Regions from separate parts of the Mus musculus genome. Here regions 2 and 3 are each reported to be linked to region 1. Evidence: microRNA targets listed by miRTarBase, many of them from high-throughput screens and not tested one by one. Region 1 holds a microRNA gene; each other region holds the end of a gene's coding sequence.
Evidence for each region. The annotated mature microRNA mmu-miR-465b-5p reads UAUUUAGAAUGGUGCUGAUCUG and lies in region 1 at 2,153-2,174, shown strand. An mRNA with a match to its seed (bases 2 to 7 or 8) in the 3' UTR can be bound and repressed. Matches are read on the target gene's strand: a 7mer-m8 pairs with bases 2 to 8, a 7mer-A1 pairs with bases 2 to 7 and ends in A, and an 8mer does both.

Region 2: the mRNA of Cdc37 is a reported target of mmu-miR-465b-5p. The part of its 3' UTR that is shown has no 7-base or 8-base seed match.
Region 3: the mRNA of Setd7 is a reported target of mmu-miR-465b-5p. Seed matches in the 3' UTR shown: 7mer-m8 at 1,011-1,017.

What each region holds. Positions count from the first base shown.
Region 1 is chrX:66,834,728-66,837,984 of GRCm38, reverse strand. It overlaps Mir465b-2 (microRNA 465b-2), which reads left to right and starts at 2,143; the gene lies at 2,143-2,221.
Region 2 is chr9:21,137,066-21,140,322 of GRCm38, reverse strand. It overlaps Cdc37 (cell division cycle 37), which reads left to right. Exons shown (of 8, transcript NM_001378796.1): 8 at 360-892. The coding sequence ends at 515. Among named protein-coding and RNA genes, the nearest start is that of Tyk2, 7.4 kb to the right of the region's middle.
Region 3 is chr3:51,518,744-51,522,000 of GRCm38, reverse strand. It overlaps Setd7 (SET domain containing (lysine methyltransferase) 7), which reads left to right. Exons shown (of 8, transcript NM_080793.5): 8 at 514-3,257. The coding sequence ends at 694. Among named protein-coding and RNA genes, the nearest start is that of Gm36008, 9.4 kb to the right of the region's middle.

The DNA of each region.
Region 1 (3,257 bases):
AATGTTTTCCCATTTACCAATATCCCCCCCATCCCATCTAACCTCCCCCTGCTTGTGTGAGGGTGTTACCTCACCCACCCACTTACTCCCAATTTTTCTCCCTGGCATTCCCCTACATTTGGGGCATCAAGCCTTCACAGGACTAAGGGCCTCTTCTCACATTGATTCCCAAAAAGGCTGTCCTCTACTATATATGCTGGTGGAGCCATGGGTCCCTCCATGTGTACTCTTGGAAGGTGGATTAGTCCATAGCATGTAGGGGTTCTGGTTGTTTGATACTGTTGTTCTTCCTATAGGTTGCAAACCCGTTCATCTCCTTCAGTATTTGCTCTAACTCCTCCATTGGGGACCCTGTGAACAGTCCCAAGTCTTTTCTAGGAGTATGACAAAGTCTCTAGGATATGATGGGACATGTTCGGGCAGTACAAAACAGTTAACTAATGTTGATGATGCATAGGTGACTTAGATATTTTCAGGACTTCTTTGTCTGAAATAAATCTCACTCATACAATATTTGTGGTGATATAATTTGGTTTAAACTTCAAACATGTGAGAGATAAACGTTTTTGATAGCAGGATGCATTGTAACTGTCTGGACATCAATGTAACTTAGGGTGTATTCACCATAGAATTGTTTACTGTAAAATGTACAGGTTAGAAAACAAAGGTAAATAATAAAAGCAAATAAGCCATATATACTAAATGTAGTAAAGTTGTCAAAAAAGAAAATAGTAGTCAACATATTGCATTGATACAGAGATGAGTATTCATTTAAAGAAAAAACATGAGTAAATGTACTTTCAGGGAGAATTTTGATGGTGAGAGAATTTCCTGAGTAGAACAGGATGAAAGCTATTTCTTTATGTATGTTATATTATGTTTATTTATGTTATAATTACAGTTGAAAGTATGGGGAAGGGTAAAGATACGTGAAATCAGCACTATATACCAGGCTATAGTCTTGATTTGTTTCAGTCCTATAAACACATGAAGAACAAATCTTTGTGTAAAAACAAGAATCATCATGCCCTGAAATTGTGCTCTGGGTGTAAATGGCAGTATATATGCAGTTACTTTCTTTTACCCAGGAGCATTAGAACACTAATTTTATGTACAATAGGGGGAATAGGTACCAAATTCATTGATGACTATTTCATAATTTAGTGATAAAATGGCTAGGGAATTTGGGAAAAGGCATAAGTTTAAAATAGTATTTTGGTTTTTTTTCTAGGGTTTATGAGTAAAGGTCAGTTAATAAATTCTACACTCTATGGAGTACAGTGATAAAATTACTAAGAGTGATGGATCTAGCTGAGGCAATACCTACTTTAAATTGTCCTGTATTTATTCAAATTCTCTCATTCTCTGCATCCTGCCCAGTTCTGGGTCTGTGTTTTTCCATCCACTGTAAGAGGAAACTTTAATTATGGCTGATCAAAACACTGGTATGCGTATAGGAGAACATCCTTAGGAGTCATTTAATTGTACATTTAGAAGAAAAATAGAACATGCGTTTCTTTCCTAGGCCCATGACTTAGATTCTTGACCCCAGGATATGGGTTCCATCTTGTACAGCAGGCCTTAAACCCATTGAGAGATTAATTAGTTACTTGCATTGCATTTGTGCCACTATTTCACCAGTACAGCATGTAGGCAAATCACCATGTAGAGCACATGGTTTGTAGTTGTGTTGATGGTTACATTTATCCTCTGGTATCATTCAGAGTAACTTTCAGTACCATGAATGCTGATTAGTAGAGGTGCTGATTCTACAGGTACCACTCTGACTTCCTTGTTCAATAATATCACCTTATGAAGAGTTTTTGCAATTTACAAAATATTTACAATAGCCTAAGTTGTTTGCTGGAGGAAACCATTTGGTTAATGATCCAACTAGATATAAACAGTTCATCATTGCATGTTTCACTTGATGGTGAAAGTTGTAATGTGGAGAGCATGGTTTCCCTATTATTTAGTGACTTTGTTTTGATTCCTCATATGTGTATATATATTAAAAGAAACTTCTATAGTAGTAGGATTCTGTATGACCCTTTACTTGGCCCTTAACGGCTATGATTAGAGGTTTGATGAAGCTAACAAGACTGTTTATGAATGTTTGAACATCTCCTTAAAGGCTTTGTATGCAATGCCCTATTTAGAATGGTGCTGATCTGATGAAATAAAAAATTGATCAGGGCCTTTCTAAGTAGAGTAAGGCTTACCAACTATACATTTAATATGACTTGTAGATGAATGTTCAGAATATCTGTAGGTACATGTAATGTGCCTTCTGTAATTATAGGTGAGCTTCCACATGGCCACATTCTTTTTTTTTTTACTTCTATTTATTTATTTATTTATTTATTTATTTATTTATTTATTTATTCTTTCCTCATGTATTACATCCAGACGTTATCTTACTTCTTTCTACACACCTCATAGCCCCTGCCCTACACTTCCCCTGTCCACCAGATCTAATTCTCTCCTCCATTTCTCTTCACAAGAGATCAAGCCTTCATATTTGCTCTACAGTAGATAATATTTGTCTAGAAATACATCCATTTATTTTAGGTTTCATTCTTTTTTTTAATTTTATGAGATATTTTCCTCATTTACATTTCAAATGCTATTCCAAAAGTTCCCTATACTCTCCTTGTACCCTGATCTTCTATCTACCAACTCTCACATCTTAGCCTTGGCGTTCCCCTGTACTGGGGCATATAAAGTTTGCAAGACCTAGAGGTCTCTCTTCCCAATGATGCCCAACTAGGCCATCTTCTGCTACATATGAGCTCTGGGGATACTGCTTAGTTCATATTGTTGTTCTACCTATAGGGTATGGTCCACTATGTTCATAGCCGCCTTATTACAATAGCCAGAAGGTGGAAAGAACCCAGATGTCTCCCAACAGAGGAATGGATACCGAAAATGTGATACATTTATACACTGGAGTACTACTCAGCTAATAAAAACAATGAGATTATGAAATTCATGGGCAAATGGATGTATCTGGAGGATATCATCCTTAGTGAAGTAACCCAATCATGACAGAAGTGGTTAGTTATGCACTCACTGAGCATCGGATAATAGCCCATAAGCTTAGTATACTCAATTTGTAAAACACAAGAAGAGGGAAGACCAACTGGTGAATACTTCTTTAAGGTTTCTAATGTAATTAAATAGAAGGTTTTAACATAGTCCATGTTTTCCTGAATTTCACCACTCTCTGTTCTGTATTTTATTTTATTAGGTATTTT
Region 2 (3,257 bases), not on the chromosome of region 1:
TGTCACCACTCCCTTTTGTCTGTGTGTTTGTTTTTTGAGACAGGGTCTCATGTAGCCCAAGCTGACCTCAAATGTGCTACATAACTGATGACCTTTGCTCCTGACCCTCCTGCTGCCACTTCCTAATTGGTGGGATCACAAGTGTGTACCACCATATCTGCTTGTCTGTGGTGCTGGAATGGTAGAGTCTCAGAACACTGGGCAATTGCTGCACCCGCTGAGTCACATGCTAGCTTCTGCAGTTCTATATTACCAGTCCTGGGTGGAGTGGGTGCTGAGCAGCCTTGAAGGAGGTGCAGGGGACACTGGGCATCATGCTGCTGGCATGGCCTCATCTGCTGTCCTCCCTCTCTCCACAGGATGCCAAGTATCACATGCAGCGTTGCATCGATTCTGGCCTCTGGGTCCCCAACTCCAAGTCTGGTGAGGCCAAGGAGGGGGAGGAGGCGGGCCCCGGGGACCCATTGCTGGAAGCCGTCCCCAAAGCGGGCAACGAGAAAGACGTCAGTGCGTGACCCTTCTCCGGAAAAGGAAACTTAGCCACCATGTCCCTAGCTCCCAACTTCTTCACTTGTGCTGCTCCTCACATCCTGGCCCATGGCCTGCCCCGTGTCCCCTCTCCTCCCACCTGTCCCCAGCGCTCATCAGACTCTCTGCTTCGGGTTGAGGGGCTCTGCTGTCTGCAGCCTCCTACCCCCATCAGCGTTATGCCAAAGTCCTGGGGGCCTGGGGAGGGGCAGCAGTTGCCAGGTTGGTCCACCGGGTTGGGGATACAAATGTCCCCATCTAGGCAAGGTCTGTCCCTATGGGTCTATGGTCACTGTTTTTCTTCTGTCTAGCTTCCTGTCCTGCAACTGGCAACAATGTCCAATAAACAGTTCCAGGTGCTGGAGGCCGCTGGTTCAGTGCTGTTTGAGGCAGAGGGTGAACCTAGGTGGGGAGAACTGGAGTGCTAACAGCCATCCATGCCTTTGCCCTGTCCTCACCCTTCAGAAGTCCTAGGCCTTCTGTGTCTCTCCAACTGTCTGTCTCAGCCTCCCCTAACTCCTCCCTCTGTCTCCCCTCTCCCCCTAGCACTCCATGGAGACAAGAGGACACGAGTTTGAGGGTAACCTGGGCATGAGATATATGTGGCCTTTCACACTAGACTTTGCCTCTGCTAGGGGAACATCTTATTCTAAATTTTTATTTGTGTGTGTGTACGCTCGCACGCCCGAATGTCTTTTTGAGATAGGTTTTGTATGTATCTTTGGCTGTTTGGGAACACACTATATAGACCAGGCTGGCCTCAAACTCAGATATCCACGTGCCACTCACTACCTCTTGAGTGCTGGCATCAAAAGCATGAGCCACTCCTGGCTTAAAATTTAATTTATGTGTATGAGTGTTCTGTACGTGTACATGTAGTGGCTGCAGAGGCCAGAATCTCTTAGAACTGTAGTTCCCAGTGGCCCTCAGTCCACCATGTGGCTACTTGGAGTGAACACAGTGTCCTCTGCAACATTGAGTCTTTTCTCCAGTCCTGGGGAGCAACTTTGAGGATTTCTCCTGTTAGAAAGAATGTAGCCTGGGGCTCTGGCTAGAGTTTAGTGGCAGAGCTTGGCTTAGCGTGGTTTCAGTTCCAGCAATGTTTGTTTTTTGTTTTTTGTTTGTTTTTTTTTTTTAAAGCACATGTATCATTCTGAAGAATGAATGAAACAGAAGGGTCATGTGTTCAAGGCCGGGCTAGGCTGACCAGTGAGTCACTGTCTCGGTGAAAATGAATTAAAGGACTTAGTTTACAGAGTGTTTGCCTAGCATTCAGGAAGCTCTGGCTTCTAGCCCTACCCTGCATAAACTGGGTGTGGTGCCACATCTGCAAATCCCAGGCCCAAAGTTGGATTTAATTCTGGAGTTAAGGGTGGTGGACTGAGAGGATAGCTCTCGATACAGAGGCCTGAGAAGACCTCAGTTTAGATACCAGCACCAAAATGCTGGACATGGCCGTGTGCACTTCCTGTAACCTCGGTGTCTTTGGAGATAAGACCGTGTCCCTGGGGCTTGGTGGCTGCAGGTCTTGTTTCAGATTGAGAGACTGTGAGTAGGAATAACATGAAGCATGATAGAGCAGGCCACTGGGCATCCTCTGGGTCCTACGGTACACAGGCACAGTACACATGCCTAATGCCGATGGCACACACAAAGCACATGGTTGTCCAGTCTGGGCTACGCGTGAGAAAGTAAACTTGCATGACCTGGTGAGATGGCTCAGCCGTGAAAGGCACTAGCCACCAAGCTTGGCAGTTTTAATTCCTACAGCATGCTACCTGCTGTCAGGAGAGAGCCAACTCAGCATACTACAGAAGAGTGTAACCTAAAACATAAAGTTAATAAGCAAATGAACAAACATGCAAAAATGGTGCAGTGAGCTGCATCAGTTGAAATCAGCCAAAGGCAAGATTCTGACCCTTCATCCATCCCCCTTTTAGGGCATTGTCCTCTGGGAACTGCTTCTCACTCAGGACCCAGCTCAGCCTTTGGAAGACAGCAAGCAGCTGATCTCCAAAATCTGAGGCAAGGCTAGTCTACATGGTGACTTGCAGGCCAGCCAGGGCTGCACAGTGAGATCCTATCTCAGGGAACAACAGAATGAAAAAACATTTTAACCAGCCCTAGCTCGGTGCAGTGCACCTCCCAGACATGTTCCTGGGAGCTCTCTGAACCTCTCACCTTTCACACTAGCCGCAGGACTGCCTCACCGGTGTGGTATGACCTGTAGACTACCAGGCACTATGAGCCTTTCCTTCCCTTCTCCCCTGAGACTCCCACAGCACTGGGAAAGGGGACTGGAGCACGCACAGTAGGCCCACAGAAAAGATTTGCAGAATGGCCAGAATGCTCTTGTGTCCAAGTGTCTATCCACCAGAGGGCAGGAGTGAGCCACAAATCTTTACAAGCCCAGTATTCTTTAGTTGAAAGGTAGGTCTGTAACTCAGTTCCAGGTGATCCAAACACATGGGGTGTGTGTGTGTGTGTGTGTGTGTGTGTGTAACTCAGTTCCAGGTGATCCAAACACATGGGGTGTGTGTGTGTGTGTGTGTGTGTGTGTGTGTGTACTTTAAGGTCATGAGCCATGATGTGGTTGCTGGGAATTGAGCTCTTTTGGGATAGCAATCAGTGCTCTTGACCACAGTAATTCCTCCAGCTCGTGATTTTTGAGATTAAGTCTCACTGTAGCACAGGCTACTCTGGAATTTGTGACAGTCAACCTACCTCAG
Region 3 (3,257 bases), not on the chromosome of region 1:
TCTGCATGAAGGATGAGGGCTAGCAACTAGCTTAGCCGCTAAAGGCACTTGTCACCAAGCCTATTGTGTTTGATCCCTGGAACCCACATGGTTGAAGGAAAGGAGCGACTTCTCCAAGTTGTCCTCTGACCTCTCTCTCCAATATGTGCTGGGGTGTTCTGGGAGATTTGGGGTTTTAATTTTAGGACAGGATGTTGTATAATCCCAGTCTGGCCTCAGACTCACTATGAAGCCAAGAGACTGATTCCCCTCCCCCACCTCCCGAGCACTAGGACCACCATGCCTGGTTTATGGTTATGCTGAGACGAGCCTTGGGCCCCATATGTGTTAGATGAACACTTTACCAGCTGAGCCTTCCACCCCAGACTGCCTAGAGTGGGTGCTGAAGCTGGTGGGGGTGTGCCCCTTCTCTGAGAACTCGGGAGTGACACCCAGTGCATGTGGGTGAGCCGCTCCCTTGGCACTGAGGTCCTCGGTTGACCCAAGAGTGACCTTTCCCGTCTTAATGTTTAGGTTTGTCCACCCCCGTTTCGGGCCGATCAAGTGCATCCGCACCCTGCGAGCTGTGGAGGCCGAGGAAGAGCTGACCGTTGCCTACGGCTATGACCACAGCCCCCCGGGGAAGAGTGGGCCTGAAGCCCCCGAGTGGTATCAAGTGGAGCTGAAGGCCTTCCAGGCCACCCAGCAGAAGTGAAAGGCTTGGCACTGGGTCCCAGAGACCTGGAGTAGAAACTTGGATCTATGCACTACATTTATCTGACAACGGGACAACCAGGGACTATTCATGCCATGACATCACATCCTCTCACCCTGCGTTAGCAACGACTCTCTCTCTCTCTCTCTCTCTCTCTCTCTCTCTCTCTCCCCCCCCCCTCTCTCTCTCTCTCGCATACTAACTAGGTTTGACTGTATTACTCGTACCAGATTTAAAATTAGCTAGCCTTGCCACAACGCCCTACTGAGAGGTACTGTCGAACTGTAGACAGCATGATGTTCTTTGATGGTGAAAGTCTAAATCTGGACCGTGTTCAGAGATACCAAATGATGAGGCTGAAAAGGGGAAACGGGGTTCTTCAGTCTCTTCTTCTTCTTTTTATTTTTTTTTCCATGATGTTTTCTCTATGGCCAGTGCAAATGGTGTTGTCACCCTTGCATGTTGCCAACCGCAGGGCAGGAAGCAATTACATCTTTATATACACGTAGGGTCATTTGCCTTTTAACCTTTGATCTGTATCTCTTGCAGTAGAATGGCTTTGTTTTTGTTGTTCCTCTCCTAGTGACCCGAAGCCCAGTGTTTTGAGTAATTTCTTTAGCTTCACTATACTAGCTATACTTTACAAGAGAAAGCTTCCACTTGGATTTTGCATTTGTAGCAGCGTACAGGTCTCTCTGGTCCTTTCTCTGCCATTTCACTCTTACGTCCTGATATAAAGTCCTGGCTCCTAGGGCCAGACTGTTATTTATAGACTTACTATTCTCGCATGTAAACAAGGATATCTTTGCTTTCAGATGTGAGAAGAAATGGATTTACCTTGTTTGCATCAAGTTATGGAAGGGTTTTAAGATACACTTTCAGGAAGAAGAGAGGGAAGTTATATCTAAGCAGTTGTTATGGCAACTTTGCAGTATCTCCAGTAGTGTTGCTAATTTTTTCTTCTTCTTGGGTACACATTAATTGTACATAACCTAGTACAGTCTGGCTTGTGACACACACAGCTCATTGAATTCAAACACAATAGCCAGTGTGCATTCTAAGGCAGAATGCAAAATTCTCTTTGAAATCAGTGTCACGAAGGCAGACATGCTGATATCGATAGGTACAAATCAGATCTCTAGCTAAGGCTTCTCGTCACAGCGGATTTCAAAGCATTTAGCTGCTTCCAAGAGTTCACACCTGCGCGGTTAATCCCGCTAGCGTCTCAGCCTCCTCAAGCCATATGTAATCACAATTGCAGAAGTACAGAGAAAACCCCATTATTTTACTTTAGCACATTAGATCTGTAATGTAACTGGGTCGCTCTGAATGAATGCCGAGTTTGGGGAACACTCCCCTCCCCCAAGGTGTCCATCACCGAGAAGGCCTGGGAACAACAGTTGCTGAAGCCGGTAGCTGTCCACAGTGCTACCTGTGGCCTGTGTCGGTTTAGGCTTAAAAGCTAAAGCTTTCCAAGCTGCAATAAAGGGCTCTGGGAAAGGGGAGAGATGCTTGGGAGTAGGTGGAAATGGAGAGAGGAGACAGGTAGAGAGCGGTTTGATATTCTGTGGTCAGTTGCATCTTGGTCTTCACAACTTTCAGGAGTGCTTTATCTGGGGCTGCGACACAGCTTTTCCATCAAGAGCCCCAGGTGGAGAACTCAGCCCTCAGTTGTGATAGCCACCCCTGGGCTCTTTCACAAGCTTCCTGACATACCTACCGTCAGGCTCTGCACCCAGGTGACGATGCTGCCCGGGAGTGCTAGTCACATCCCTGTTTGAAAGCTTAAGGAGCGAGTTCCCTCGGGAGAAACGTCCTCTGGACTTTCGAGGAGCCTCCTGCAAAGAGGACTGAATAGTTTTCAGACTGCAAGTCAGCAGGATAGGATGGCTTCTATTCTGTAGAAAGACACCATTCAGTAAACTCTGACAGGAGGCTGAGTCTGTGGGTTCAGATTCTGAGAGGAGCTTTTCTGTAAATGTGCCCAAAGAGAGTTGGCTGCTTTGGGGAGAACAATGGCTGAACTTCAGTGACCAGATGAGAAGGAGGACGGAGGACGAGAGAACAGGTTCCACCTCCAATCGCCCAGGCTCACAGGATTTCACACCTGGGGATGGAACCTTAGCCTCAGTTGCTGTAGGGGCTCAACCTCTATCCTAAAGGGCTACTCTAGCAATCTCATCCAAATGGGACTCAAAAACAATTTGGGGGGGCTTAAGGGCCAGCAAAAAACGTTTAGCAGGTAAAGGTGCTGTTGGCAAGCCGATGGCCTGAGTTAAGCCTTAGGACATATATAGTAGGAGAGAAACAACTCCTGAAGGCTAGCCTCTGACCACACCCAGCATGGCACGCACCCGCCCCTCCACACACACACACACACACACACATGTGGCTGGGAAACCGATCTACTTTTCCCATCCCACAGTGGAGGAAGACACACTGGACTTCAAACCCAGCAGCAATGTGTCGGTGACCCTTAGACACAGGAAGCAGACCCTCAGAGCCGAGCCTCCCTGTCTCCCCTCGCCCTGGGTTCCTGGTGCCTTTCAGCTCCTTTTCTTCT